7 linked regions of the Tribolium castaneum genome follow. The protein of the gene in region 6 purifies or fractionates together with the protein of the main gene of each other region. This does not show direct contact. Links are inferred from orthologs where the notes say so. Each region holds a gene or a part of one and is shown on either strand. Other genes may lie near its edges. The genes, in order: Max, nop5, MrgBP, Polr2B, Nop60B, rept and protein SHQ1 homolog.

Region 1 (4,727 bases), on a different chromosome or scaffold from region 6:
TGTTTCAGCGGGAAAGGTTGAAAAATAATCTCTTCAAGAACATACTTTTATTAATTTAATAAACTTACATTTAACATACAAACAAAGTGAGTTTGTGATTTAACTACAAACAATAAGAAAATAAACTACAAATATTTATATTTTTATACACAATAGCTCTTTAATCCGTAAAATGTAGTTGGTTCAAAAAAACAACTGTAAAAAAACTTAATAAAACATTGTTATTTTGACATTTAGAGATGACTGAAGATCCACTTTGTCTTCACTAATTGTTACAAACTACTGAATTGTACTGACAAAAATATGCGGACGGTTTCACCGCATTAAGAAGAGTCAAGTTTTCAAATCTCGTTTCTTCTTTAGTCTGCCTAACTACGTTAAACATGAAGTGTTAAAGTAAAAACGAAACGAGTTTCAATTACCATCAGCTCAACTTCTGCTAGTGGTAAGATCCAATTTTTTGTTTCTTTGGCCTTCTGGGTTGAACAGACCCTTCCAAGTCTGAAGTATCCGATTCGGTTTCATTGTAATTTGAATCTTTACCGTCGGAAGATTCCCCTCCAAAAGAACCCGTGCTTTTGGCCTTTTCCAAGGTACGAACTGTAACTGCAACTATTAAAAAAATATTTTAAACAAGTCTGAGAAAATGTATTACTCTGCGCTTCCAGAAGACTGTTTTGCCTCTTGAGATCTTCAATATCCTGCTGATGGGAATGGTTCTTTTTCCTCATGAATACTATATATTCTGCAGCTTTCTTCAAAATTTGCGCTCGACTGGCCTAAAAAGCAAAGATACAATTGCCACGATATCTGTCTTACGAGTAATCGTTCAGCAAACGTGAAAAATCGGACAGACGTACCACTTTTTCGCCGTTGAGAGCAGGAACAGAGTCTCGCAAACTGCTAAAACTGTCTTTTATGTGGTCTCGCCGTTTCCTTTCCAGCGCGTTGTGGTGCGCCCGCTTCTCAGCCTAAACAGCATACAACCAAATAAACACCAAAGCAGACCCTTATTTTTTTTTACTGGTTAAATTGTGTGTCTGACCAAATAAATTACATAATGCAATAACTCAGCAATGACTATGACACTAGGAAAATTGAAATAGGCACAAAACGAAGAGGAACACCTTTTATTATAATTTTAAAAGTTGTAGCACCAACCTCTTCAAAATTGTAAATGGCATCACCCCCCTTTGTGATACATGTTTAGTTTTTCAAATAGTAAACAATTTAACAAAAACCATTTCTTAAAGACAATTATGCACCAATAAGATGAAATTGTCAAAAGACAAATTATTATCATTGTATTTTTTTTATAAACTGTTTTGCAAAATTAAATTAAGGCACATAATTTTCGTGTGAAATAAGTTTTCTTTATTTTAAACATGGCTTTATGTAAAACAATACTATTTTAAATGATTTATAAAAATTAATATTTTTATTTTCTGATTTTTTAAAATGCATTTATTCAAAACAAATTGTTATTAAATAGTTCCGACGTATTTACGCTTATGTAGTTACTTACAACTCAAACGTTTTTTTGCGTTTGACATCAAAGATTTGTCAAACTACACGCATTATGCGGAAATTATAATTTCCAAACAAAAAAATGCTGACTTTCTATAGCAGCTACATTTTTCAATAAAAAAATATATTTTCATTTAACGTGACGTTGGTTAATAATGCAAAATAAATGGCAACTTAATTCGAATCATGTAGTTTAATTCTAAATTAAATTTTAATTCCGCTTTCTGCAAACTGGCTCGTAAAAGAATTTATTTCGTTCGAAACTACAAACTTCTGTTATCAACTTATCAATGTATTGACAAATTTGAAAAAAAATCAAGCAGCTTTTATTCTTTGCCGCCAAACCTCGTCACCAAATGTTTAATTGCAAATATTAATATGACTCACAACGTTGACACAAAATTTTAATTCAGCAGTTCTAGTCTCTACAGTGTTATTTTTTTTATTCTTTGACTAATAATTATCGTTAAGGTCATTTAAATGCATAGTAGTCAATTTACTACAAAACAATATAACACGGCGAAGAAAAAAAGAACGATTTCGTTATTAGTACTATTATTTGTATGTATTTGTATTTACATAAATTCTCAGAAGAGAAAAGATTACTGAAAATTTAAATTAGTGATTTTAAAAGTGCAAAACATCTAGCGATAATAAATAAAACAATGTAAAGATTTTAAGCTTCAAGAACGTTTTTGCAGCTTTGTATTTAAAAAATATTCTATATGCAAAAGTAATCCTTACGGACAATGATTTTGCGATTGCAAAAATAATTAAAAAATAAGCATAATACAGTTGCTCAAAGCTACAGTAAATTTTATAAAGACTTTCTTCTTTAAAATGATTAAATTGTGCTTAAATAACGGAAGCTTGCAAAATAATAACCAACAGCTAATTTTTCCATAAAAAAACTAACAGCAGTTGTTTATTGTAAATTCATTTCGAGATGTTGCATAATTACAAAATTACGTGGAAAGCAGTGTTTATTTCCATTGCGATAAATGAAGACAAACCAAAAAATCAAGAATATTGAGGTGCAAAAAACGAAACGAAATAATTAGAAAGTACGAAAATTCGTCCCTGAACTGGTGGCCAATTAATTTACCTGTGAGTAATACTGGCTTCCAGTGGATTGTCTGCTGGGGGTTGGCTGCCGGGAATCCGAATCGTCACCTTCCTGAAATAGGGGGGTACATAATGAATCAATGTTAATATTGATCCATGTGGTGTTTTGTGTATAAACAACACTACTCACATCGCTTTCGACGTCAATATCCCGATCGTCATCGCTCATTGTAAGAAGTACAGAGTCCTGAGGTGAAAACGGCTTATTTCAGGTGTAATACACAACCATCGACTTGTACTTTTCCCAAAATGTCACAACACGAGCAAACTAGACGTGAGTCGCACAATGTGCGTGACCTGTCATACTTGGCCAACTAGAACCACTCGAAAGTCCAGTTCTTTGTCACAAAATTCCAAAATAGGGGCGACTTTCCACAAAACGGGGCGCTAAACCGTCAAGCACCGAACTCTATTAGCGATTCTGGGGCACTTTTCCCGAAAAGTGTGATTTAGATAAGCTTTCTGACGTTTTATTTGTACCCAATTTTGCACCGACCCTAGCTGAGAAAACAAACGTCAATTACCGACTGAGGCGTGCAACTTGTTGGGGTTACACGTGTTCTGTTGCGCACGTGATTTAGCCCAGACGCGAACCAAAAAAAGGGCGGAGAAAAAATTCAAATAAAAATAATAAATTTATTCATAACCGAAACCAAATACAGTTCAATTAAACTACAATAAAAAATAAAAATAAATTGAGCAGTTAGCTAAAAAAATTGTTCATATCTAGCTGAATAAATTATAACATGGTTCGTAACAGTCTAAAAAAAATAATATTTATTGTTATAAAATTTGATTTGGAAATAGTAACATTCAATTCAGTTTGTCTTATCTATTCACTAGTAACAATAAAAATGCGTTTTTATCATTAGTGTACTGGAGACTTGGACACCACAATACGAAATCACAAGACAAACAGTAAAAACAATTATTGGGTTAATAAAAGGCACTTGGGTGGTGAATTATATTGCAATGTCAGTACTGTTCACGATTACTACTCTAGTTAAACGGAGAAACTGATTGACCAATGGAACATGTAATAAATTTTGCAAACTTTACATAACAGTGTACAATAAAATGGTTACGTAATAGATAAAATTGTATTATTTTTAGAAGCGTTATGTACAAATAAATTACAATAATACCAACATTGCCAAGATATCACATAATCAGCAAAGTTACATACTATGTTCCACAATATATGGCAAGACAAAATCCACAACAATCCAAATCACGTGACGATTAACGCGTTAATATGTAACGATGCTTTTAGGGTGCTATTGTAACAGACGGGGGAATGTTATCACGCCTGTTTCTTGCCGTTGGTTGTGATATTAGTTGCATTTAGGACAGTTCTTTCAGCTACTTCGGCAGCCATTTGCTGCATACCGTTCTCGACGTAAGCTTGTACGACGGGTTTCATAGACTGAAAAAATAAAAATATTACGATTCACACAACAAAACATCGAAATCGTTAGTCAAATCCATGCAAGTATCTAGAATTGATTAGTACATACGTTTTCTTTCTTTTCTCTTTCTAAAATAGGCATGCTACAAAAAGAAGATATCTTTAGTTATAGCACTTATAGCACAACAAATGTGTAACTAAAATAACGGATATCTAAAGCTTAGGATATGAAACGACGTACAAATAAAACGTTCTCGTCCCCCATAAGTTTTCAGAGCAATGAATTTGAAAAAATGGTTGTATTTGTATAACTGTTAACACAGAGCAAACAAAAAATAAAAGCAGATTGTGCATTTAATTGTCAATAGTAAGACGGAAACAATGCAAAAATATAAGGTGAAACGCAAAATAATTATTCTAAGCGATAATTTTTTGCGGACCGTTGTATATTTATCAAAACGCTGGGAATACAAATGAAGATACAAAAAAAGTGTAAGGAACAAAAGTTGTAGAGAATTAAATTTCCTATAAAAAAGTCCGCGATACCATATTTTTATCTTCTACAGTTTAGGTATAAATAACTTTACTTAACCACCGGTAAAATAAAATGAAAGCGTCGGTTAGGGTCTTTGAACGTCTTTGGGGCCTAAACCGTTGACTATAGAGA
Region 2 (4,500 bases), on a different chromosome or scaffold from region 6:
ACCATATTTTCATATTTTTCTAAAACTTGCATACAGCAAGCAATTATTTTGTTATCTTGATTTGCACCTACACTTTCCTGTTCATTAGCTTCCATTAGTGTCTGCCCTGAAAAAATAATTGCTATTACTTTTGTCACTGCTTCCTTATCCAATGAAAAAAGTACCGTGAATTTTTTGTTTACTAGAGCGACTCATGTTAAAGAATAAAAATAAAGTTCAATGGTCATAATAAAAAAATGCAAACACTTCTACGTGAAACATTGTTTCAGTATACCTTTCATTCTATTATGTTTACTACTCATAGTTTTTTCTATTAACTTGATGGCATCTTGAGCTTTCTGTCTGAGGCTACGTTTGTTTGAATCGCCCTTTATAAAGTCTAACTCTTCTGTAACAATCCAGGGAATGAAAATGACTGGCTCCCTGGGTCCTATAACAAGTGTGATAAATATTTATCCATTGTTACACATTTCTTTACCTTTAACAGCTAATGTAACAATGTTAGCAATTATATTCAGCTCTGATAAGAATATATTCGTGTCAACCACAATATAAAACTGACAAGAACTCGTAATTTGTGAATTTAAAGTATTATCACTTGTGCTTTTGGACTCCTCAATATCAGTCTAAAAAGACAATTAACTAGAATATTAAACTGAATAATTAAATCAAGAGAGTATACAGGACACCATTCCATATCCTCTTCTGAAACAACTGCTGTCTGTTGAAAGCCAACAGCAAATGGATTTGGAGATTCAGTGGTAAACACATTCGTTTGTGTTAGAAACTCTTCTTTAAAAATGAAAGGAGTTCCAGGTTCACTGTTCGAACATTCCCCTGAACTCGAGGCACTTTCCTTAATAAACAGTTTTGTAGACACTTCATGTTGCACTGAATCAGTTGGTCGTTTCCGCACACAATTCTTGTCTTTAAATTTTGGTACAGATTGAGCAGATTTTGAAACTTCTTCATTTAAGCTAGTCCTAAGCCTCTTTAACCTTTCATTAGCTATGTTCTTTTTCGGCGTAACACTAATGGTACGTTTCGTTCCATGTTTTAAATGACTATCCTCTTGAACAATTTTTTCCGGAAAAATTTTAGGATTCCTCTCATTTTTTCGTTTGGCTACGAGGACTTTTCGTTTGTCTGACATTTTAATTTTTAGCAAAAAAAACTTCTTTTAATTCATTTTCAAATAACAATTTTCTGTTTTCTCGCAAATCAGCTGACAACAACAACAAAACGCCATCTTAACTTGATCACGTGATATGTACAATGCACCCGAATTCGACCTGTTGTTAAGATCGACTTAACCGAATGTAGGTGAAACTGAAACTTTTTTACAAGTAACCAGTTAACGCCAGTTACTAATTACAACTCCCACACATACTAAAAAGAACTTGGGTTTTTGTAAACTGGTGTCAAATAATCTTAAATCTGCTTTATTTAGATTTACATTGGAAAGGCACGTGGGGGAAAGAACCAAGAGTTGGTAATTCTTGGGGAATTCGTGCGAGTCGACAATCTCGCCGACGCGCTAGACCTCATGGTTTCTAATTGTTGCCGGTTTTTATCGTTAATATTAAAAATTGGTGGGTTTTCATATAAATTGTTGTAATACAAAGTGAAAAATGTTGGTCTTATTTGAGACAGCGGCAGGTTACGCGCTGTTTAAGGTAATTCTGCAGTAAAGTTGTTGACAAACTTAACCTCAAATTTTCCATGCTTTCAGCTTCTGGATGAAAGCAAATTAAAAGAAGTTAACAATTTGTACCATGAATTTGATTCACCCGAGTCGGCAGGAAAAATGTACGACCTGTCCTAGTTTCAAAATGCAAACTTATTAGTAAAATTGTTTTAGTGTGAAGCTGAAACATTTCGAGAAGTTCAATGATACCACTGAAGCCCTGGCTGCCACGACTGCAGCCGTCGAGGGCAAAGTCTCGAAAAGCTTGAAGAAGGTGCTGAAGAAGCACATCGACCAAGAATTGCAGGACAAGCTGCTTGTGGCCGACGCCAAGTTAGGGTCTGCCATTAAAGAGAAGTTCAATTTACAATGCGTTTCGAATACAGCTGTCCAGGAGCTGATGCGGTGCATTCGGTCGCAATTGGACAGTTTGATAACGGGGTTACCTAAGAAGGAAATGACCGCGATGGCGTTAGGTTTAGCTCATTCCTTATCACGGTACAAGTTAAAATTCTCGCCTGATAAAATTGATACAATGATAGTCCAAGCGGTTTCGTTGCTTGATGACCTCGATAAAGAACTCAACAACTACATAATGAGGTGCCGCGAATGGTACGGTTGGCACTTTCCCGAGCTTGGGAAAATAATCACTGATAACGTTGCGTTCGTCAAAACTGTTAAAATCATCGGAACGCGTGATAACACCGCCAGTTCTGACCTCTCCGACATTCTCCCCGAAGAAATTGAGGAGAAAGTCAAGGAGGCAGCTGAAATATCAATGGGTACTGAGATATCCGACGACGATATTTTAAACATTCAGAACTTGTGCGACCAAGTTGTAGAAATTTCCAATTATCGCACCCAGTTGTACGACTATTTGAAGGCCCGTATGATGGCGATGGCCCCAAACCTGACAACGTTGGTTGGGGATTTGGTGGGCGCTCGTTTGATTTCGCACGCTGGGTCTTTGATAAACTTGGCCAAACATCCGGCCTCCACGGTGCAGATTTTGGGGGCTGAGAAGGCGCTATTCCGAGCCCTCAAGACCAAGAAAGACACCCCGAAGTACGGGTTGATCTACCACGCCCAGTTAGTGGGGCAAAGTAGCACCAAAAACAAGGGGAAAATGTCTCGAATGTTGGCGGCTAAAGCAGCCCTCGCAACTCGAGTCGATGCTCTAGGCGAAGACGGGAATTTCACGCTTGGGGCGGAGCACAAAGCCAAGTTGGAAGCACGTCTTAGAATTTTGGAAGAGGGGAATTTGAGGAGAATTAGCGGGACGGCGAAAGCCAAGGCCAAGTTTGAGAAATATCAAGGGGTTTCGGAAGTTCAGCAGTATCCTGCTGCTGCCGACTCGACGTTACCTTCGACTTCGAAGAGGAAGAGGTCAGAGTCGGAGCAAGTGAAGGAGGAGTTGAACACGACTCAGGAGACTCCCAAGCAGAAGAAGAAAAAGGTCAAGACGGATGAGACCAATGACAGTATCAAGGAGGAGGATGAGGACAGTGGTGAGGGCCAGAAGAAGAAAAAGAAGAAGAAGAAGGCGAAAGAGGAAGCGGAGGAAGAGGTGGAAGCGGAAGTTAAGGAAGAACCTGAGGTGACGCCTGGGAAGAAAAAGAAGAAGAAGAAGTCCGAGAGCGAAGCTCCGCCTGAAGTTGTTGAAGAGCCAACAAGTGGAAAAAAGAAAAAGAAGAAGAAGAGCATTTCCAAGGAAGATGAATAATTTAGCGGAAGGTTTTTTATTTTTTACAATAATAGACATTCTTATTATTAAGGTGCTGTTATACAACAGCGGTGTAATTTGCTTTGCAATAGACTAAAAACAAACAATAAGAAATTGATTTACCACGTTTTCCCACTCACCGATAAATTCAGACACGGGGTCGTTCTCCCCATCTCCTCTCATTGTTCCCGTAATTTCGTCATTTTCAACCATTGGCATAAATAAGTGGACGAATTCGGAGCTATAAGGGGGCCCGATGGTCTCCAAAACCTACAAAAATTGCATTTTCCGGTCATTTTTAACAAAGTAACTTACTTCCGTTACAAAGTAACGAATCAGGGATATGTCCGTGTCGCCTTTTTGCCAACACTGTTTTATGTACTTTACAACGGGTACCACACATCCAGCACATAGCAAATTTACCATTCTGTCAAGGACCATTTTGCGCATTTCAAGCTAACAAAAAAAAAACTGAAAAATATCGTAAAAAAATTGATAACTTACTTGGACTAAAATTTCCAGTTCGTCTTGCTTGGATTCAAACAACCTGATTAGTAAGTCGAGTACTTGATTATGGAGAAGAGGGTGACAAGTAACTACTTCATCCAAGAGCGCCAAATGAATTGGAGTGTGTTCTGTTGACAATTTAAAGTAACTTGCTTCGGTAACAGTGCACTCAACCCAACGGATAATTCCAACAGAAACGACTGGATACCTAAAAAAATAAATATAAGTTTCTTAGTTGACAATGTTTTTGATAATGGTGATTTACCGACATTTTATTTACAAAATTTATTCAGTTTTTATTAAAATATCATCTTAGAAACTTACCTGAGACACTGATACAGCGTTGCAAGTTCTGCCATTAGCTCTGAACTCCCTTTATTGGTATTACAAATATTGTGGACCGTTTCAATTGAATGAATAGTCGCTTGAAGTTCATCTTTATTGACCACTCTTTTTTGCCCTTTTTTGGCTTGCATTTCATAGACACTTGCTGCATAAGCTAACAAATGGATATATTTGGGCTTGTGGTCGGGGTTGAGTTTTACTCCAGGTTTAAACAAGGCATCAATCAATAATTCTGAAA
Region 3 (4,796 bases), on a different chromosome or scaffold from region 6:
TTTACCGTAAATAAAAGAAAAAGTCTTTTACCAACATTTGAGAGCACGTCCAAAAAGTAAGTTTTTCTGTTCAAAGTCACAACATAACAATGCAATTCTAGACTCTTAAAAATGAATAAAAACTCGCCGGTTTTTTCAAACTTAGGTGATGAATTAACGCCAACTTATCTCAAACAAAACGAGCGAAATTTGGGCGAAGCTCAGCCACGTAATAAGCCCCCAAGTGAGCAAAATAAGGAGTCTGTGAAATTGCTCGACCCGTTTTGTCACTACAACACTTGCTTTAGCAGTAAGTCAAGTGAGAGGTGTGCAGGACTAAAGCTAGGAGGCAAGACGAGATTTTTGTAAATATTGTAAAGATTCTGATTTATTGAAAAAGTTGAGAAATTAAGTTAAGTTAAGAAAGGTCATAATTGAATAAAAAAATCTGCCCAAGTACCAATTCCAAAAGGTTATTTTGCGCTTAAAATTTGCTCGATTTTTCGTCATGCCACCAAATATTTTGGTCCCCCATAGTCCCAGGGCTTAAGAATTTACTCCAAAAATAATTTTAGACGCGTTTAGGCAGAAAGGAAGCGAAATGAGAGTCAGGTTGATGGGTGGTATCAGAAAAGAACTAATTCTCTCACCTTACAGCAGCATTTATTTAAAACCTTACATACGAAGAGATACAGAAACTTATCCATCCTGGCTACGCCTAATGGCCGAGATACAAATGAAAGCAAACGAAAAAACACAAAATTACGTTCTACCTCCAAGGGCCCCTATTGACTACACCTACGTCCAACCTGAGCACATACCTGCCATTAACAGTCTCTGCAACAACTTTTTTTGGCCAGGAATCGATCGTAAGTGTCCGAAATGTTACAACACAATTTAATTTTTTGTTGCAGTAACTGAAAGTTTGCAATATCCGGATTTTAGTTGCGTAGTTTTGTACAAAAAATTAATAGTGGCGTTTGCGTTCCTCGTCCCCAATGTTAAATACACCGAAAATTACGTCTCTTTTATTTTTACACGGCCAGGATGGCGAAACGTCGGGATTGGAAAGTTCATGTTGTATCACTTAATCCAAGTAATTGAAAAGTCGATTTTTATTAAACTAGTTGGTTAATTAATTATTTCAGACAAGTCTCGGCAAAGATATCACACTACACGTGTCCATCAACAACCCGGCCTTGTTTTTGTACCAAAAGTTCGGTTTTAAGGTGGAAGCAGTCGTTTTGAATTTTTATGATAAGTATTTACGCGAGACAAGCGAATCGAAACATGCGTTTTTCTGCCGCCTTGAGAGGTGATGTTGCTCCGAGTTGCATCGTGTTTTACGTAATTTATTGAGGCACTTTTTATTAATTTTAATAAAGTGAGAAAGAAACTAAATGCGTCGCCTTTTTGTCACTGGTGGTGTGACTGTGATTGGACTAGATTTACCACTCGAACTGGAATCGTCAGGTTTAGAGCTGCCTCTAGTAGGGCGCTTCGTCAGTTTTGGTGTGTCGTCACTTTTCGCTTTTGCCTTGTTTTCCTCCCTTGGTGTACTACTATTACTCTTACCTTTACTTTTACTCTTTTCAGCCTCTTTCTTGATTTCTTTTTTCGCACTCACTGGGGTTTTGTCCTTACTGTCTTTACTATCACGCCTTGGCACCTCCTTACTGCTCCTCACAGGAGTCTTTTCATCTTTTCGCAATTCCTTGAGCGACTTGGGCGTTTCGCGCCCTTTCTGCGCCAATTTCTTGTCCTCTTCCTTCTTCACAATGAGGGAACCGAAGTCGGAATCGGGAAGTGTGAACTCTTTCTCACTATTCGGGAACGGAATCGACTCACTCTCATCCAAAGCTTCCAAATTGTACATTGTCTCGAGGTGGGCCCACACCTTGTCCGAGTTGATCTCCTTCTGGCAACTATCAGCGAACTTGTCACAGATGCACGCCATTTGGAAGTACTTATTGACGCCTGAAAGGGGGCTTCAGTTTTTTAGGTTAGGTTCGTGGGGGACGTACCGACGGGCTTGTGCCCCACCATGGCCTCCAGGAGCTGCCCCTCGTGCGCCACGTTCCACTCGATCTCGTCCATGGGGCCCTTAATCATTTAAAAACGGAATTAAATTATTTAAAACGCCAATTGACAAATGACTGTTTGAGGGCGCCACTGCCGCCATCACGGTCAATTTGAAATTTTAATTAATCTTTTAGTCATTATTGTTTTACAGGCCACAGATGTATTATCAACTACATTAGAATGTTGTTAGAACACTTCAACATTTTTTTTTTGCAAAATAAATGCATTCAAGTCTTGACACACGTTTTTTTGTTTGTGACCCTGAATCCCGTATTTTCCTTTTTCCTTAAAAAAAATTTAATTTGAGCTCGTCAAAGTACCGATAGTTATTAAAAACACGAGCTACAATGTTGGTAAATGATTTACTGAAGAGTTTGTCCAAAGTTTCAATTTAAAACTGCCGGTTTGGGGAATTTGGCGCCGTGTGCGTGGTGCTCTTGTCAAATTTTGGCGCAATTTGATTCAAATCACGTTTTTTCGTCCTGAAAAGTCCGAGACGGGAACAGAGCCGGACTTGTGGAGCTCGGAATTCGCTTCGGGTGTGGGCCGTGCTTGGAATGATTGTGAGCAATGTGGGTCCGGTCCCCGGCGTTGATTCGGGGCCCAAATAAATAAACAAGACATCCCGGAACTGAATTAGCCGCTCCGGTGAAATGGAGTCTTCGGTTCAACGTTCTGGTTGCGGTCATTGCCTGGTATCTTGTCAGGCGGCTCTTCTACAACACCGGTATATAATCCAGCGTTGCCTTGTTCAGCCTTGCCTTCAAGAATCGATCGAGACAGAGATGGAGGAAAAAACGGCCAAAAATGACTGAACTCGTGAACGCTGGAGGCTCCAGCTTTTATGTAACGCTGCTTTTGGTTATTTTGCAATTAAACGGGCCCCGGGACCTTCACTTCCGAAAGGGGGCGAAAAGAGGGCAATAAACCGTGACTTGTGATTATGGACGTGTTGACACTGCGACCCCCGGTGTCGTATAATTATGCCCGATCGATTGTTTGGAAATGGAAGTGGAATAATTTCGATTCAGTAAATTCGCCGCATTACTATTCGAATTGTTGGCCCCGGAAGGGTCCGGGTGGCTTTGTATGCTTAGTTTCAAATGGTTTTTATCGATGAAAGTCAACAGCAGATGTTTGTACGCGAAATATTCTGTAATTTACATTACGGTAAATATTGGAGTTGTAGTCATTTTGCAGCTCCTACAAATAACTATTAAAAAGTAAGCAAACTCACATCTGTTTGGCTCGAGGGGCTCTTAACTCACCTATTTATAGGTTTGTGATTGCTTTGTTATTAAAAAGGGATGGGCACCTTATAATTAATTTTTTCCCACATTCAGTTTTACCAAAGTTCGTTGTCCTATTTGCAATAAATTTATGATTTTTTTATTATCTATTATCCGTTGAAAAAGTTGCATTTCTGAGGACTGTGAGGTCCCGTAAGGCGTCTTTTTGTGTCGGAATTCACCAAGTCAAGCCGACTGTGACTGTAATATTTCAATTCTTAGCCTTGCCAGCAAACGGTTTCCCTTGTCTAATGACTTGACGTCACTTGTGCAATTAAAATTCAAATCGTACCCCATTATGCGCACAGTTATGACAATAAACAGGCCATTAAGGCCCAAATCGCCGCAATCCGGCGCCTTTCCCTCATTTTCCAGGGCATTCCTCTCTGCTTTTTATCCAACACGGATCTCGCGATAAAACACAAATCTTATTAAAATTGCACATTTTTTGCGAAAGCTGCGATTTTGCCCGAGGATTGTACAGTAAAGTCAATAATTGCCATTGTGTTATTGAGTGGCTGTAAATGAAGACGACAGCGCACTTTGGAGTTTCTCCACGCAAAAAAAAACAAAAAATCTAACTTTCTTCTTCTCTCATGACAATCCGAAATAAAACAATTTTTTGTCAATAATTATAATAAGCGGAGCTAAACTTTGGATGAAATACACACTTATTATACATATAGAGTGTCAAGTGAACTACGTGAAGCTTAAAATTGTTTAAAGCTGGGTTTAAATTAAACCGTACCTTTGATGTCGCTTAATAGGACGTGACATAGAAAAATTAAAAGTCAAAAAAGCCAGTCAGTTATAAAACTTAAACAGATATTTATTTTTACGTATTTTGTTATATTTATTTTGTTTCAAATTTTTCTTATTTTTTTATTTTATCGTGTATCTCCTCCTCTGTTGAGTAAAATGGCAAAAATGTGCAAAATGGCCAAAAACAGATAACTTAATCTCAAGTATTTGCCAAATACCTACCTGTGTTAGGGAGGTGCATACGTTGTCAGCGATTATATTTGGATGTGTATAAAGTTACGAGCTAATTTTTAATTAGTTTTTTTAAATTTGAGCTTGCTTATGGATGCCCAAGTTTGAACTTTTGCACATTGGCGTGCAACGGTACCATTGCATAAATTAAGCCCAGCACTGGTACAGTCGTGCGAAAAAGTGTAAGAAAGGAAGAAAAACGTGCGATTGGCTAAGCGCAAAAGCAATAGCGCGTGATTGGTCGTTGTCACCAATTCCATGACTGTTTTGATATTATACAAGTTGAAAACATGCGAATGTCGAGAGTCTGCGAGCACTTGACGGAAGAGGAGAAGAAACGGCGACATTCTCGGAATCCGTTAAAATAAGTAAGTGGGACTAGGATGTGGCAATTGAAACAACAAACGCTGGAAACGCCACACCTGCTGCTGTACCTTTGCAGACAAGCAGTGC
Region 4 (3,966 bases), on a different chromosome or scaffold from region 6:
AGAACACGCGGTGTGTGGCCGGGGGCTACATCTGGAACCCCTATTTCACCCAACTGGCCGACCCCCTCAATGTATATTTTGCTTTTTTTTTAATTTTATAATATAATGTTCTGGTTTCAGGGTGATCTTTATCGGCAAGAGTGCGGGCCTGAGAACCCGCTCAGGTGCCACGTGGGGGACCTGTCGGCCCGTTTGGGGACCATCGACATCGGGCTCCAGCGCAAAGTCTTCACCGATGCGAATTTCCCGCTCGAAGGCGACGTCACGGCAATCGGGCGCTCCATCGTCATCATGAGCCCCAACAGACGTCCCGAACGTTACGCCTGTGCCAATATCGAGCCCGACTATGACATAATCAAGTACGCAAACATCGAAAAGCCCCCACGTTTTGTCCTGTCGCAGTTTATCGAAGAAGTGCGCGAAATTCTGGGAATCCCCGACTGGTTTTTGACCGTAGATTCGCGCAAAACCAAGTCTTTGCACAGCGACGCTTGCGTCCAGCTTTTGCTGCATTTTAAAGGACCGCTAGCTAACCGATTAGAGCAGGATTTCAGCCGATTGCTGGCAAGTGGGCGTTTAGACACCCCCACATTGTACATTCCAGGGTTTATTAATACGAAACGTAAGGTGAAAATTGCGTACAAGCAGTGTGGAGTACAAGACCCCAACGAGAAGAGTAAGTTTATGGATTAGGCGACAAAAAATGAGTGTATTTTGCAGGTAAAAAACGGACCGGATTTTTCTTTGCACGCTCAGGAAGCAACCCAGCCAAATTTGCTCACAGTCTGATTGTAGTGATAGTTTTAAGCTATTTATTGTAATGATATGACTGTTCCTAATAAAAAAGTAATATATTACCATGGAGTTTGAAATTTAGCGCCAATAATGAAGTCACGTGGTGCAATCCACAAAAAATCAAAAACGCAATATAATTAAAAAATTGGACTTGTTACCACTTACCTGACCTTTAAGTCACATTACAGATAATTATTAAATATTTTTTTGGTCGAATAGTGTAATTTAACATCGTATCTTGAAAATCTGGAGACTTTTTTGTTGTATGGTTACGTAACACTTCAAGGTCATTGCAGGAAAATAAAAAATTGGGCCGTATTTAACAAGTTTTTTATTTGTTTTCCAAAGTATTGTGTTTGGGGCTACCCCCCGAACATAAAATATTAATTTATTTCACAAAATAAGGGTTTTCTTGGGGTCCCCATACAAAGTCAACTGACACTTGACAGACGCTCAAAACTTGTGTTTTGTGCGTCTCATTTGTGCCCCATTTTTTGCAAATAATCAGCAATGTATGAACAAGACGAAGGTACGCAATCCCCCTTGAGTAGCCCCCGAGCCATTTGTAACAAAAACCGGCTTTTCAGACCAATTCGACGATGAAGAGTCTGAAGAAATCAGCTCCGAGTTGTGGCAAGAGGCCTGCTGGATCGTCATCAACGCCTATTTCGACGAAAAAGGCCTCGTCCGGCAACAACTGGACAGTTTCGACGAGTTTATCCAAATGTCGGTGCAACGAATCGTCGAAGACTCGCCCCAAATCGACCTCCAAGCCGAGGCACAGCACACAAGCGGCGAGCTTGAAAACCCCTCTCGGTATTTACTGAAATTCGAGCAGATCTACCTATCCAAACCGACCCATTGGGAGAAAGACGGCGCCCCCTCGCCCATGATGCCCAACGAGGCCCGCTTGCGCAACCTGACCTACTCGGCCCCCTTGTACGTCGATATCACCAAGACCATAGTCAAGGACGGCGAGGACCCCATTGAGACCCAGCACCAGAAAACCTTCATCGGGAAAATCCCGATTATGCTCCGATCCACGTACTGTCTCCTCAACGGTCTAACCGACCGCGACTTGACCGAACTCAACGAGTGCCCCCTTGACCCCGGCGGCTACTTCATCATCAACGGCTCAGAGAAAGTCCTAATCGCCCAGGAGAAAATGGCCACGAACACCGTCTACGTCTTCTCGATGAAAGACGGGAAATACGCCTTCAAATCCGAAATCCGCTCCTGTCTCGAGCACAGCTCGCGCCCCACGTCCACCCTCTGGGTCAACATGATGGCACGTGGGGGCCAGGCGATCAAAAAGGCCGCCATCGGGCAACGAATCATCGCGATCTTGCCCTACATCAAGCAGGAGATCCCCATCATGATCGTGTTCCGGGCCTTGGGGTTCGTGGCCGATCGGGACATCCTCGAGCACATTATTTACGACTTCGAAGACCCCGAGATGATGGAAATGGTGAAACCGTCCCTGGACGAAGCGTTCGTGATCCAGGAACAGAACATCGCACTCAACTTCATTGGGACCAGGGGGGCCCGGCCGGGCGTCACCAAAGAAAAGCGTATCAAATACGCGCGAGAGATCCTCCAGAAGGAGATGCTGCCCCACGTTGGAGTGTCCGATTTTTGCGAGACGAAAAAAGCCTACTTTTTGGGGTACATGGTGCACCGGTTGCTCCTGGCGGCTTTGGGGCGCCGCGAGCTGGACGATCGGGATCACTACGGTAACAAACGACTGGACTTGGCGGGGCCCCTGCTTGCGTTTTTGTTCCGTGGGTTGTTTAAAAACTTGATGAAGGAAGTACGGATGTATGCCCAGAAATTTATTGATCGGGGCAAAGACTTTAACCTCGACTTGGCCATTAAGACTAAGTTGATTACGGACGGGTTGAGGTATTCTCTGGCGACTGGTAACTGGGGGGACCAGAAGAAGGCCCACCAGGCCAGAGCCGGTGTCTCGCAGGTGTTGAACCGTTTGACTTTTGCCTCGACTTTGTCGCACTTGAGACGTGTTAATTCGCCCATTGGACGTGACGGGAAGTTGGCGAAGCCCCGACAGTTGCACAACACGCTCTGGGGGATGATTTGTCCGGCGGAGACACCAGAAGGGGCGGCTGTTGGTCTGGTGAAAAATCTGGCCCTCATGGCGTATATTTCGGTGGGGTCGCAACCCTCTCCAATTTTGGAGTTTTTGGAGGAGTGGTCGATGGAGAATTTGGAGGAGATTGCGCCGTCTGCCATAGCCAACGCGACCAAGATTTTTGTTAATGGTTGCTGGGTGGGAATTCACAGGGACCCCGAACAGTTGATGGCGACGTTACGCAAGTTGAGGAGACAGATGGATATTATTGTGTCGGAGGTTTCCATGATTCGGGATATTCGGGACCGGGAGATTCGCATTTACACGGATGCTGGACGGATTTGTCGGCCGTTACTAATCGTGGAAAATGGGACTTTATTGTTGAAGAAGCGCCACATTGATATGTTGAAAGAGAGGGAATATAATAACTACGGGTGGCAGGTTTTGGTGGCTTCAGGGGTTGTCGAATATATCGATACTTTGGAAGAGGAGACTGTGATGATTGCGATGTCTCCGGACGATTTGAGACAGGAGAAGGAATACGCGTATTGTACCACTTACACACATTGTGAGATCCATCCAGCTATGATTTTGGGTGTTTGTGCCAGTATTATACCCTTCCCGGATCACAACCAGAGTCCCAGAAACACATATCAAGTATTTGTTTTGGTGTTGTTTGAATTTTTTTAGTAATTAATTTTTTCCTCAGAGTGCTATGGGCAAGCAAGCCATGGGTGTGTACATCACCAACTTCCATGTCCGCATGGACACCCTTGCCCACGTCCTGTATTACCCCCACAAACCGTTGGTTACAACCAGATCAATGGAATATCTCAGATTCAGGGAATTACCGGCTGGGATTAACAGCATCGTGGCCATTGCGTGTTACACCGGTTATAACCAGGAGGATTCGGTTATTTTGAACGCGTCGGCCGTCGAAAGGGGATTTTTCCGGTGAGTATTAAAAAAAAGTAATATAGTAGAAATAAAATAATTTGTTATTTTGTGCTTTAGATCTGTGTTTTACCGCTCGTACAAGGACGCCGAATCGAAACGCATCGGCGACCAAGAGGAGCAGTTCG
Region 5 (3,273 bases), on a different chromosome or scaffold from region 6:
ATTGTCTAACAGTCATGATCGCAATAGAATTTGAGCAACAATAAAAATAAATTATTTTTGAAACGGTTTCCTAGGAAATAATTCCCAGTGTTGGCACATCTACACATTGTGATTTTTTGGATGAATTTTAATTTTTTTAAATTAAAAAAACTGCTAAAATCTGATAGTAAATTTAAAAATAATTATTCATCGTTTTGTTACGGAACGATTACCTGGTATGAAACATAAAAATATAAAAAAATAATGAAAACTAAAGAAGTTAACACAATAAGTTTGTAGCTCCAGATTTTTTAAAATATAACTTTGGGAATTTTTTCAACATTTTTCCCGTAATCTGTACTTGCTTCTCAATAACGTACCACTGAGTTGGTGCGCCAGTTTTTGAGCACCCTGTATAAGAATATTGTTAACGTCAATATTTGTTATAAACACTAGGCAACTACTTTTATTAATTTCTTTAAATGTGACAATTTTTTAACAATTTTTAGTACATGTTTATATCAAAAAACCTAGTCCTCCAGACTATGAAAAAAATATATAAAACAGAAAAGTAAAACCATTATCAATATTTTTTTGATTTCATTGTTTTATACTTACTTGAAAGATGGAGTATTATCGAAAAAAATAAAAAATGAACCATTACTCAAATACCAGTGTCATAAATATTACTAAAAATGTACCATTTCAAAAAAAATATAGAATTACCAAACTGGACACCCGGTATACCTACAAATTTCTTGCACTTGTACCACTACATCAAACTGGAAAAATCAAAGCCTGTACGATAAAATTGCATTTATTTTCGCTTAACACGACTGTGTTTATCTTAGAAAGAATTTAAACTTAATTCTATTAATGTAGTATTGTAGAGCTACAATATAAAAATGCAAAACAAAATAGTTCATTCCGCTTCCTCTTCCTCCCTATCTTTACTCTTATCCTTTTTCTTTTTCTTCTTTTTCTTTTTTTCCTCCTGTAAGAATAACAGTGCAATAGGTAATTTAATAATAATTGATTGTCTCATTTACCCCATTATCTTCAGCAGTTTCCTCTGACACTGCTGTCGCTTCTTCAACAGTGCTTTCCTCACCTTCGACCTTCTTCCGTTTCTTCTTCTTCTCTTTCGGACTCGCTGTATCGGACTGCATTGACGTGTCCGCTAATTTACGCTGAAAACAAACAATGAATTGCTCATAAAACGAAAAAACGTCTTACTTTTTTATCATCTTCATCGTCCTTGGTGTCCTCTTTCTTAACACTGGAAAAAAATTATTGAATTGTTTTTAAACTTTGCGCAAAATTAAAAACACTTACGAATAATCAACGTAACTATTTAGCCATTCTTTGGGCGTATTTTCGTTCGGTTTTCCGTATTTGTCGAGCTGTCCTTTTGCAATAAGAATTTTTTTCTGGCTTGTTCGTGGTCCCAAGCCCCATTTTCTTGGATAAGTGTCTCGTTCCATTATCACACGTTTGATTTTCGCGACAACTCCGTGGTCACAACTGGCTATTGTTGCAGTGGTCATCAGTGCAATCCCTAGTGCTATGGCTTCCCCTTTAGTGGTCACAATAACAATTTCTTCGTTAAGTTCAATATTGTCTTCATAGCGTAAAATACCCGGTAGCAAAATTTTAGCTCCATAGCAAACCGCGTTTACCTAAAATTATGCCATTTATTGTAGAAAAGTTTTGTTTGTTAATTGATAAGTTAGTGGGAAATTATGTATTACCGAGCTGTCTTTCATAATTATCCTTTTGTGTTTGACCAAAAGGCCTTCCAAAGGCCGAATCACTCGTCGCAGGTAATTCTCATCTTTGTGATTCTCGTAAAGCCATTGAGCGTCTAAAACATCATGCATTGTGGCCATTTGATCTTGTTCGCTCTGAATTCCCGAACGAACTCTTCGAAGTTCCAACATTTGGCCTCCAACGCCCAAAACCAAACCCAAATGAACACACATTGTACGAATGTAGGAACCAGCCTCGCAACTAACCCAAAACACGCCTAAAATAATGCATAATAATTAAACATTTTCAAAGTTTAAAAAAGACAGGACTAAAATTAGGCCCTTTAGGCATCCAAACTGTTCTAATTAACTGTTCTAATCAGTAATAAATTCGATTTTGATGAGTAAAAAATAATAAATGATCAGTGTATTTAATTAATTTTTGCACATTAATGAGTGGTTTAATATTTTGCACAGTAAAAAATTTAAATGAGAAGTAAACCATGCACAGTATCTATTTCAGTTTGCACAGTTTAAATAATAAACGCTCATTACCTAGCATCTATCATTTTTACTGTTTACTATTTATTAATTTTACTGTGCATTTATTATTTTTATTGTGCATTTATTATTTTTACTGTACATTTATTATTTTACTATACATTTCTTATTTTTACCATGCCTTTATCAATTTATCATTTTTTCTGAACAAAAATACTTGTTGTTTAAATAAAATACTCTGCATTTAATTTATACCCTTAAGTTAATGCAATTTGAAAAAAAATAGGGGAATTAGTATTTTAATTTTTGCTAAGCTGGGAAAAATTGAAGGTCAAACTTTCCACGAGAACATAAGAAAAAAAAATACAAAGTAGAAATAAATGTACACTTGGCATTATTTCTTTATTTATTTTATTTAGTATTTATTTTTCAAGAATTTTAGCACGTTTTAGGTGATTTCCTTGAAACATTTTGTGAAACTGTACGAAAACATACTAAATTATAAATCAAAAATGACGTTTTTGTCTTTTTAAGCGATTTTCAGATTGGTTTACGAACTTTTGGTAAAAACAAGCCAAAAACCAGAAAGTTTGATGAAACTGACAATCTTCTGCCTTCGTCAAAACATACTTTTTCGAATATTTTATCACGTTTTTGAGTTAAAACTTTCTGTTTTTTATTGTAAAATCTTGTCAAACTGTGTCAAAAATTCACTAAAATAGACGTGTTCTTCATTTCTGTGACAAGTTTGAGACCCAATGTCACAAGTATTTTACGAAATTATAAAGATAAGTTAAAAAGTACAAATTTCGAGCGAAATTCAGACAATGTTTGAGCTAAACACGTAACTGTTTCTCTAAATTTTGCCAAATGGCGTTATTTTTGTCTTTTTGAGACTTTTTTTGGGCGATCGTCAACTTCACCTTCACAAGTTTTATTAACTTTGTCAGGCAACTAAATTGGACCAAACAAAAAATGATAAATTTGCCTTTTTCGAACACGTTTCAGAGATAGACATAATTTATTTCATGAAACTGTCTCAAAA
Region 6 (4,927 bases):
GCACACTATTATAATAAGAGAAATCAAAAATAAGCACAAATTAAGAAAGGAATAAAAGAATAAAGTACAATACAAAAAAAAAATGTTGTAGAAATGAATTTAATAAATAAATCGATACAAAATAACGAAAACGGGAAAAAGAATAAATAAAATATGGACGAAAAAATGTAATTAACAAATGATTATAATAGAAGAATAAAAGGTGAGCAAACAAAAAAATTAATAAAATATATGTTTAATAAAATTGGAAAATAAAAAAAAATCGTTGCAAACTCTTAGGAAAGAGAAAAGGCGAAATAAAAGATAAATGTGAACCAAAAAATTAAGTTAACAAAATTCAAAAGTGAGGTCAAATTATTACAAAAGAAAGAACAAAATAAAAAAATTATAAAATTTTCTTATTCCCTCTGTTTGTGGAGATTGAAAATAACTGAAAAATTGAATTTTTTTTACACTTTTATTGTTTATTCATAAAGTTGAAGTCGCTTTAACTCTTAAAGTTCATAACGTTACTTTAACATTATGAATAAACGGTAATTTTTTCGATTTTTTAATTATTCCCAATTTCCACGAATAAATCAACAAAGACAGACTAAAAAAATAAAATAAACATTGAAAAACGAAAATAATTTGGAAAATAAATTTGATAAAATAAATCAAAAATAAGTGAAATTAGGAAACGCCTACAAGAAACAAGAAATAAAATATAAAAAAATCCAAGAATTTAATACATAAATCGATACGAAATAACGAAAACCAAAATACGAAAAAATAATATGTAGACACAAAAACCTAATTAACAAATAACAAAAAAATGTATAGAAAATAAAGAGAAAATGTGTTAAATAAAAGTGGAAAATAAAACATAAATGTGAACCAAAAAAATAAGTTAAAAAAGCAAATGCCCATTTTTTTCAAGCTTTTAATTTTTTTTTCTCCATGAATAAATTAAAAAAGACAAAATAAAATTAAAAAATTAAAAAAAAACTGGTAAAACAAAACATAATATAGCGATCCCAAAAGTGACGGACCACTAATAAAAAACTTTCAGTTAAACTGTTAAACATAAAAATAAATTTAGTTTTTTCTTTAATTTTATATATTTTTTTTCAAAGTAAATAACCATCTTTTCTAATCTTGTCGGGTGTAATTTATTGTCAAACCTGCTAGTTTATTAAACGTTTTCATATTTATATTTGAAAATGAACTATAAAATTAAATTACCAACATATATTATAAAAAAACAAAATTAGTATAACAAAAAATTAAAATCGTCGCAAAACCAAAAAAATAAAATTACTTAAAAAATATGGTTCAAGTCCAAAGAATTACGGGAGAGTGAAAAACATCAATAATAAAATAAACGAAAAAAGAAATAACACAAAAAAGAAAAAAAACCTCTTGTAACAAATTAAAAAAATAAAAAAAATCAAGAGAAAGCAAAAAAAATGAAAAGAAAGCAAAAAAAAACAGAATAAGAAGCACACAAAAGTAAAAAAAATCCGTTGTAGAAAATCAACGAAATAGAAAAAGTAGATTCTTTCCATTTCGAAAATATTTTTTTATTAAAATAACCCTCAATATTGAATATTGAATATTGAAAAATTAGAGAATTCATCACTAAATTTTGCAAAATAAATTCCGAGACACACTGTTTTGTTTTTTTTCTTGTAAATCTTTGTTCCCGAAAAAAAAACACGGGGAAAAATTTTTTAAGCTTAACAAACGACTAAATTAGAAAAAAAAATATTTTTTAACAGATTTCTAAATCAATAAAAACTATAAATTCAAAGTTTCAGAAGTTAGTATATAGGCAACCAACAATACACCGACTATAGTATTTCAATTTTTTTTGACATTTTTATACCGGGTGACTACTGAAAAGCCATTAGCACTTTATACATTCGCTGTTAAGGCTAAATGATTCTTGATATTAATCATTTATTGTTAAATAATTTTATTTTTTGTGGTTTTGTAATTTATATATTTTGTAGAAAAAAATTTTTCGTTAAATAAATAAATAAATAAATAAAACGGATCTTGTCGTCAGTTTTGTGATAAATCTGAACTCTTAATTCATAAAACAAGCGCAGTATTGCCAAATAATTCCCCCATACAATTCATCACAGTCACCCGGTATTCCAGCACTTACTTGATCCGCACCCCGATACTCTTCCTAATCGCCTGCGTCAGCGCCTCCGTCTTGCTCATCTCCAGCGAGTAAATCTCCGAGCCTGCCATGCTCGTAAAGGGGGTGTCCTGCCCCAGGGCGGCGGCCAGAGCCGTCGCAATGGCCGTTTTCCCCGTCCCCGGTTGCCCCGCCAAAAGCACGGCCCGACCAGCAATCCGCCCCTCCCTCACCATCTTCAAGACAATCCCGATAGCCCTCCTGGCAGACACCTGCCCCACCATCCCTTGCGAGACATGCCGGGCCTCGAGACTCTCATCCAGACCCAGCCCCCGGATGTGGGAGTGGGCCCCAATGCGCTCCACGCGCGTGGTTTCACGCACTTCGGCGATTTTTGCAGCGGCGGCGCTCTGCGAAAGTGGGGTTAGGGTCAGCAAACGCCGCAAAAACGACACAAATGCGATAATGTTATCAGCAAAAGGGTGTTTTTAACGAGATAAGGGAGAATGGGGTACTTACAGCCATTGGGGTTGTGGTTTTTGCGGCTTTTTTGCGTTTTTATGCACAATTTTAAAGGAAATGCAAAAACAATGGAGGGACGCGGTACCAACGTAACTGCGAAAATCACCAGAAAAAGTGTACCCACTTCGTAATTTAATTAATTAAGCATAATTATTATATTAATTTTACTCGAAACACATAATTAAATTAAATAATTCGTCGGGAAAAAAGTTTTATGTGACAAAAACGTCCCAAACTTGAAATTTTTGTAATACCAACTGTGTAACTTCTGTATTAAAAATTGTTTTTTGTGGGCTTTTTTCATTAATAAATGATTGTTTTGTTAATACTTACAGCCATAGCACTGCCACAATTAACCCAAACTTTGAATTAATTAATTGAAATAATTGATCAAACACTGGGCCCTTCAAACAAAGTGCTGCCAACGTGCCGAAAACCGGCGCCAATTTCCATTCAAACAGTTTAAAACAATGTTAAACCAATAATTACGGGCGTTTTTGCCTCATTTGTGCCACATTAGCACAAAATTTCCGCTCCCTAATTGCCTATTGTTGCAATTAGGAAAATTATGTACGAATTACAAGGTTTTCAACTTTTCGACACTACAAATACTTTTCACTAACTCATTTTTAATAATAGTTTTCGACTTGATTCCGTAGAATAATGAGTGCGATTTTACTTGTGGTGCTTGTTTTTGGCTCAACTTTTGCCAAAACTTTGCGTAAGTCGTTTAATTGAATTAACCATTGATTTTAATTAATTAATTAATTAATTAAGCGCCCGAAATTATCAAATGTCGCAAATCGGATCCTAATTTAAACCAGTGTTTGGATAAATATGTTATGGAAGATGTGCGTAAGTTGGCCATGGGGAACAGGGATTTGGGGATTAGTCAGTTGGAGCCACTGCTTATACCGGAGGTGACCTTGGGCCAAGCGTCCAAGGACACGCTCCAGCAAGTTTACAAAAATGTGAAAATTCACGGCATCACCTCGGCTACGATCAAAAATTCGAAGTAACAATAAAATTAACAAAAAAAAAAAAAAAATTGAAAAAAAATTTTAGGGTTAATTTTACGCAAGGGAGTTGTTATTGGAGCTACGATAGCTTGACTCCCGTCGTGCGTATGGAAGCCGATTACAAAATCAACGGAAAGTTGCTCATTTTCACACTAAACGGTGAAGGGAAGTGTAATAACACGTTCTGTGAGTGAAGCACTCGGCTTCGCCTCGTGCCTAATTCTTTTTTTAGGGGATGTTGAAGGCGCCAATCACTTCAAATGTGAAAGGTACACCAAAAAAGGCAAGACTCACTTGAGAATGACCGAGCACGTGTTTAAATTCAACCCGAAAAAAGTGATTTTTTCCTATGATAACATAATCAACGGTAACGAACAGCTGAGCCAACAAATCATGAAAACAATCAACGAAAATTCCCTAACTGTTTATGCCGACTTTGGCGCCGCCATTGAGCAAGTGATGGCAACAGTGTGGTCGCAGAATATTAACGAAGTGTTTGCGAGGGTTCCCGAAGAAGAATTATTTTTACCATAGTCAATAGAAATATTTTATTTAAACTAGTGATATGACAGTCAACTTATTTTTTGTTCAATACAAATCAATAATTACGAAGCGTTTTTTTTCACTTAATAAGCCCCAAACCTCGGCAACTAATTGTAAATAGTGGGGGGTGGGGTGGGGATTAACTCCTCTCAAGGCTAGTCTCGGCTGAATTTTCTTTACTCTCCAATTGTTGCTTCCACATGGAGGCGTACACGCCTTCCTGGCCAATCAAGTGCTCGTGTCTGAAAAAATGGGTGGCAACACTGAAATTTACGAATGGCTGGCAATGGTGCCAACATATTGACATTCACTGACATATGCGTAAAAATAACAAAAAAAAATTTTTTTTAAGTTTGGCAACATATTATGTCAGTTCTACGGAGGACTATAAGTTAGGAGGCGAAACGAATATTTTCTGAACCTAAAGAAATAGTACGGCAGAGTAAAACTGAAGGCGTAGGAAATTTAATTCTCTACAACTTTGTTCCTTACATTTTTTTTGTATCTTTAACCGTATTCCCAGCGTTTTGATAAATATGCGACGGTGCGCAGAAAATTATCAATGTTCGTCCCAGCTTATATTTTTGCAAACGCTGCGAATACGGTTGAAGATACAAAAAAAGTGTAAGGAACAAAGTTGTGGAGAATTAAATTTCCTACAAAAAAGTCCGCGACACCATATTTCTATCTTCAACGGTTTAGGTATAAATTAACT
Region 7 (3,912 bases), on a different chromosome or scaffold from region 6:
AGTAACGATGGCCTAGTTATGGCAACAATTTTTTTCATTTATTAGTTTCATAAACCATGTTTGGTATTTAACTTCGATTAGGCCGATTTTTTTTTCGATGTTATAATCATTTATTACTTTATTGATTTGAAAAAAAAATGAATTTTTTGTGGTTTTATAGCGCGACCTGGTTACCTCCAAATCGAGCTAGCACCTGTTTGTAACTCAGGTTTGAGATTGAGATTGCGAATTGTAGTTCTATTGTTTGCAACTTAACAAAACAACTAAAAAATGCATCAAATTAGTTTTTTAACCCGAATAATATGTAACAGATTATAGTGGAATGAATAATTTATGTGTTGACTTTCACAATTGTTTTATTATGTCAATACATAGTTTCCATATATTGTCCCAGGAAACGCTATTTGTGGCAACTTGACGTCATAATCATTACGCTCGATTGTTTTTAGCACCATTCATTTAATTATTATATCAAGGACGTATAAATTATGGAAACTATAAATTATTTTCGTTGTTTTCATTTGTATTTTTTCAGTATCAGCCGACGAAAACTCATTGGGAAATGTAGTGTTACTGACGCGCGAAAAAGTCTTAGAAATAATTGAATCGTCTTATCCGAACCCTATCACAATCCAAGACATTGCAAAGTAAGTCATTGGCTTGATTTTTACAATTAAAAACAAATCAACAAAACAAAAATAGGGAAAATGGTTGGGATGAGGAGGAAGTGGCCCATCACATTGCCGATTTACAATCAAGCAACATTGTCAAAGCCATGGAACATGGCGCTTTTACCCGCCAACAGTCCCACGATACTCAAGTAATTATCGTGAAACAAATGCCGACGATGGTCAGCTCCAAACAACCGACAATCGCCATAATCACAGCCCAGTACTGTGAGAAATTGGCCGTGGATGCGATGATTGAAAACAAGGAGACTTTCGTGAGATATACAACAGTAGGTGAGTCACTAATTTATTGACAATAGAATTAATCAGATTCGGTTGAACTATCGTCACTCGAAGTATCACTAAAGTCGTCCGAATCATCATCTCTGATTTGCAAATTGTTCAAGTCCAAATTACGACAAACGTCGTCTTCGATTTCTTGGAGATTCAATCCAAGGTCACTCTTCTCGATCGTCACTTGTTTAATTTCTTCAACGACTTCTCTCCACTTCGTCCTGTCCCACTTCATGATGTAAATGATATAATCCTTAATGAACAAATTGTTAAGAATGTAACGGCAACAATCGCCAGTCAAAAAAATGTGGTACATTTCAATCAAACACTTGATTATATATTTTTCGCCCAAATCGAGTAGTTTCCTCAAATCGGTTAAAACGGTTCGGTTAAGTTCGAAATTCCGGTAAAGCGGGTAAATGACACTCCGCCGGAATGCACTAACTAGGGCATCCTTAGGCGTTTGGAAAACATCAAGCCAGCAAAACGTCGCGGCTAACTTGACAATGGTCCAACCCGACTCAGAGGTGCCCTCAAATTGGGTCGTCCGTCGGTCGTAACAATACGCGTATAAAATATCAACGAGACAACAGTGGCAATAATTGACTTGTGTCTCGCTCAAGTTGTACGTTTTGTTCGGTAAATCCTTAAGGAAGTCCAGTTCCTGGTCGCTGAACTGAACATCATCCGACTTTAACTTGTCCCAAGGCGCTTCCAGCGCGATCAGTTCCAAAATTTCCTCGTTTTCGATGTAGTCGCTCAAGTAGTGATCGATATTGAACTTGCCTTGCTCGAACTGCACCCGCATTTTGTGCCTTTGCCCCAAATTGACTTCGCGAGGGTCGACCTCAAACACGTCCTTGAATTCGGCCGAGACATGGTTGAAGTTTTCCTTGCCGCAGAGTGCGAACCCAAACTCTTCGTTCAGCTCGTCCGGGGATTTGATTCCCTCATTGGCCACGATAGTAATTTTGCGGTTGTCTTCGGTGACTTCGACTTTGGGGGTCAATAGTTTCGTTATCAGGTCCAAATCGGGGAAATGTTCCCCGTCGATTGCCTTCTTTATCGTGAAACTGAACTGTCCCGAGTCCGAATCGAACGAACTCTCGCTGAAATTGTCCTCGACGAGGCGCCCGGGCAGGTGTAAGCGCAGGTAATAGGGGCTGGTGTAGAAAATGAAGATGTCGTCGTCGACGGTCACCTCCAACTCGCCTAAATTACAGTACGGGGCTCGGATTTGTATTGTGACGGTTGATTCGGTTTGTGTTAGCTTAAATCGCGGCGTTATCATCGTGAAAACACACACTAAGTTTGGTTTGTGAGGTTAGGTGTGTTTGACAGTTGACATGTAACAGCGCCAATTTTAAACAGCAATTTTATTGAACAGGTCCCAGTAGCCCCACGGGTGACAAACCGAGGGCCCGCTTCGGTAAGATAATTGCAAGTTCTGGGGGAATCACTTGTGATGTCACCATTTTGTGTTTGTACATAGATCACGAAAATCACTTGTGAATGTTGCATTTGTATGCAAAATGCTTTCCACTGTTCACTAACACTGTAATTATCACGGGGTGTTTGCCATTGTCTTGGCGCACTTGTAACTGTGTGATTTTCCAGGGGAATCCAATGTTTACACTTTGGGGAACATTGGGGCCCACCGTATTGTGTGCACGAAATTGCCCTCAGTGGGCCATACTCGGGAAGCAATGACCGCTGCTGGTAACACAACCACGAGACTTTTGGGGACGTTCCAGAAGGTAGATTATGTGTTTTTGGTCGGTGTGGGTGGGGGAGTCCCCCATTACACCGACTATAACAAGCATGTCCGGTTAGGAGACGTCGTGATTTCGCATCCCGTCGATAATAAGTGAGTCATTTGATGCGAAAAATGACTGGCATTAATTGATAACTTTAGGGACGTGTACGTTTATTGCGAGACGGCCAAAGTCAGCGATAAGGGTTACGATTTTGAGGTCAAACACTACCGCCCCAATAACTTCATTTTGCAAGACATTTCCTCACAGTTAAAGTCGTCCGATTCGGGTGATAATGGGACGGTTTCACCGTGGGCCAAATATCTCAAGGATGGTTTAAATATTCTCAGTTCGCAAATCGAGACCGATTTTAACCCCCCGAGTGTGGAAACCGACAAACTGTACATGACTATCGGTGAAAGGGACTTGATCGAAGTGGCCCATCCTGTGCCACAGGACAAAAACATTAAAAGGTTTGTATTGTGTTAACTGAACTTATCAATTACGTGAATTTAATTGTGTGAATTAGTTATAAAAAGCCGGAAATTCGGAGAAAACCGGTGATTACGCCGAGAAAAACACTCTCGAGTCGAACTAGAACGATTAAGAGAAAAATTCTTAGGTGGGTGGTTGTAGAACCGCACCGTTTTGTAGTCACAGTATTTATTAAATCACAGTTAGTTGAGTAATTCCTCACTTCGTAATTAGTTCTACACGACTCACTTTTTCCTTGTTGTTTTGTGGTTTCGAATGTTTGCATTTTAGGCAGGAGGGTTGCCCTCGCATCCACTTATCCACCATAGCTTCAGGCCGTCTGATCGTCCGCGATGACCGCTTGAGACAGAAGTTTGCGTCTGAAATGGGGGCTTTGGCGTTCGATTGCGAATTTGACGCTGTTATAGAGTCGGTTCTTGGCAATTGCAAGGATAGTTTTATCATAATTCGGGGCATTTCTGATTATAAAGACGGTACTAGACGCAAAGAGTGGCAACCGTATGCGTCTCTAGCCGCTGCTAGTGTTATGAAGTCGATCATTTGCGGCCTAGAGCCACCAACTAACGTTTAGTTATGTAACTTAGGTACAAAGACTTGCATGGGACTAATTTTAGATCTGGATTTTTCGACAAACTTTACACTTATTTATTTTAGTTTCTTTCGGTAGGTGGTTAACGTTGTAATAGTCTATGAAGTTACCA

What was found.
Region 1: the proteins of rept (region 6) and Max purify together in Homo sapiens (affinity purification with mass spectrometry; 3 studies listed by BioGRID and IntAct, with this or other methods). This does not show direct contact. The link is inferred for Tribolium castaneum from reciprocal best matches to the Homo sapiens genes RUVBL2 and MAX.
Region 2: the proteins of rept (region 6) and nop5 purify together in Homo sapiens (affinity purification with mass spectrometry; 5 studies listed by BioGRID and IntAct, with this or other methods). This does not show direct contact. The link is inferred for Tribolium castaneum from reciprocal best matches to the Homo sapiens genes RUVBL2 and NOP58.
Region 3: the proteins of rept (region 6) and MrgBP purify together in Homo sapiens (co-immunoprecipitation; 5 studies listed by BioGRID and IntAct, counting the BioPlex papers as one, with this or other methods). This does not show direct contact. The link is inferred for Tribolium castaneum from reciprocal best matches to the Homo sapiens genes RUVBL2 and MRGBP.
Region 4: the proteins of rept (region 6) and Polr2B purify together in Homo sapiens (affinity purification with mass spectrometry; 3 studies listed by BioGRID and IntAct, with this or other methods). This does not show direct contact. The link is inferred for Tribolium castaneum from reciprocal best matches to the Homo sapiens genes RUVBL2 and POLR2B.
Region 5: the proteins of rept (region 6) and Nop60B purify together in Homo sapiens (affinity purification with mass spectrometry; 5 studies listed by BioGRID and IntAct, counting the BioPlex papers as one, with this or other methods). This does not show direct contact. The link is inferred for Tribolium castaneum from reciprocal best matches to the Homo sapiens genes RUVBL2 and DKC1.
Region 7: the proteins of rept (region 6) and protein SHQ1 homolog purify together in Homo sapiens (affinity purification with mass spectrometry; 4 studies listed by BioGRID and IntAct, with this or other methods). This does not show direct contact. The link is inferred for Tribolium castaneum from reciprocal best matches to the Homo sapiens genes RUVBL2 and SHQ1.

What each region holds. Positions count from the first base shown.
Region 1 is NC_087396.1:13,930,517-13,935,243, reverse strand, and holds Max (protein max), read right to left. Parts: upstream 3,173-4,727; 5' UTR 2,822-3,172; coding exon 2,783-2,821; intron 2,705-2,782; coding exon 2,633-2,704; intron 972-2,632; coding exon 861-971; intron 780-860; coding exon 656-779; intron 613-655; coding exon 440-612; 3' UTR 423-439; exon of another isoform or gene 373-422; 3' UTR 33-372; downstream 1-32. Other genes in the region: atl (atlastin), read right to left, coding at 3,956-4,078. UniProt on the Homo sapiens protein: Transcription regulator. Forms a sequence-specific DNA-binding protein complex with MYC or MAD which recognizes the core sequence 5'-CAC[GA]TG-3'. The MYC:MAX complex is a transcriptional activator, whereas the MAD:MAX complex is a repressor.
Region 2 is NC_087394.1:30,826,627-30,831,126, forward strand, and holds nop5 (nucleolar protein 58), read left to right. Parts: upstream 1-1,464; 5' UTR 1,465-1,631; coding exon 1,632-1,676; intron 1,677-1,732; coding exon 1,733-1,809; intron 1,810-1,861; coding exon 1,862-3,410; 3' UTR 3,411-3,468; coding exon of another isoform or gene 3,469-3,503; 3' UTR 3,504-3,524; downstream 3,525-4,500. Other genes in the region: transcriptional protein SWT1, read right to left, coding at 3-106, 275-430, 479-626, 683-1,153; TH1 (negative elongation factor D), read right to left, coding at 3,469-3,503, 3,551-3,680, 3,726-3,866, 3,915-4,125, 4,242-4,494. UniProt on the Homo sapiens protein: Required for the biogenesis of box C/D snoRNAs such as U3, U8 and U14 snoRNAs. Part of the small subunit (SSU) processome, first precursor of the small eukaryotic ribosomal subunit.
Region 3 is NC_087396.1:22,637,974-22,642,769, forward strand, and holds MrgBP (MRG/MORF4L-binding protein), read right to left. Parts: upstream 3,275-4,796; 5' UTR 2,092-3,274; coding exon 2,004-2,091; intron 1,957-2,003; coding exon 1,376-1,956; 3' UTR 1,299-1,375; coding exon of another isoform or gene 1,128-1,298; 3' UTR 1,076-1,127; coding exon of another isoform or gene 894-1,075; 3' UTR 849-893; downstream 1-848. Other genes in the region: Atac2 (cysteine-rich protein 2-binding protein), read left to right, coding at 1-56, 102-289, 555-848, 894-1,075, 1,128-1,298.
Region 4 is NC_087395.1:24,234,855-24,238,820, reverse strand, and holds the start of Polr2B (DNA-directed RNA polymerase II subunit RPB2), read left to right. Parts: upstream 1-1,166; 5' UTR 1,167-1,305; coding exon 1,306-1,324; intron 1,325-1,382; coding exon 1,383-3,541; intron 3,542-3,593; coding exon 3,594-3,838; intron 3,839-3,898; coding exon 3,899-3,966. Other genes in the region: uncharacterized protein Rsod, read left to right, coding at 1-71, 121-676, 721-821. UniProt on the Homo sapiens protein: Catalytic core component of RNA polymerase II (Pol II), a DNA-dependent RNA polymerase which synthesizes mRNA precursors and many functional non-coding RNAs using the four ribonucleoside triphosphates as substrates.
Region 5 is NC_087394.1:7,770,945-7,774,217, reverse strand, and holds the end of Nop60B (H/ACA ribonucleoprotein complex subunit 4), read right to left. Parts: intron 2,006-3,273; coding exon 1,731-2,005; intron 1,659-1,730; coding exon 1,315-1,658; intron 1,259-1,314; coding exon 1,216-1,258; intron 1,170-1,215; coding exon 1,029-1,169; intron 974-1,028; coding exon 902-973; 3' UTR 781-901; downstream 1-780.
Region 6 is NC_087401.1:15,889,702-15,894,628, reverse strand, and holds the start of rept (ruvB-like 2), read right to left. Parts: upstream 3,062-4,927; 5' UTR 2,990-3,061; coding exon 2,984-2,989; intron 2,807-2,983; exon of another isoform or gene 2,654-2,806; coding exon of another isoform or gene 2,648-2,653; intron 2,539-2,647; coding exon 2,153-2,538; intron 1-2,152. Other genes in the region: uncharacterized protein LOC663271, read left to right, coding at 3,314-3,371, 3,428-3,665, 3,716-3,855, 3,902-4,203; Hmt-1 (ATP-binding cassette sub-family B member 6), read right to left, coding at 4,352-4,454. UniProt on the Homo sapiens protein: Possesses single-stranded DNA-stimulated ATPase and ATP-dependent DNA helicase (5' to 3') activity; hexamerization is thought to be critical for ATP hydrolysis and adjacent subunits in the ring-like structure contribute to the ATPase activity.
Region 7 is NC_087397.1:6,231,791-6,235,702, reverse strand, and holds protein SHQ1 homolog, read right to left. Parts: upstream 2,320-3,912; 5' UTR 2,254-2,319; coding exon 991-2,253; 3' UTR 963-990; downstream 1-962. Other genes in the region: uncharacterized protein LOC657396, read left to right, coding at 161-208, 536-647, 703-962, 2,350-2,391, 2,580-2,829, 2,878-3,189, 3,246-3,338, 3,482-3,782. UniProt on the Homo sapiens protein: Required for the quantitative accumulation of H/ACA ribonucleoproteins (RNPs), including telomerase, probably through the stabilization of DKC1, from the time of its synthesis until its association with NOP10, NHP2, and NAF1 at the nascent H/ACA RNA.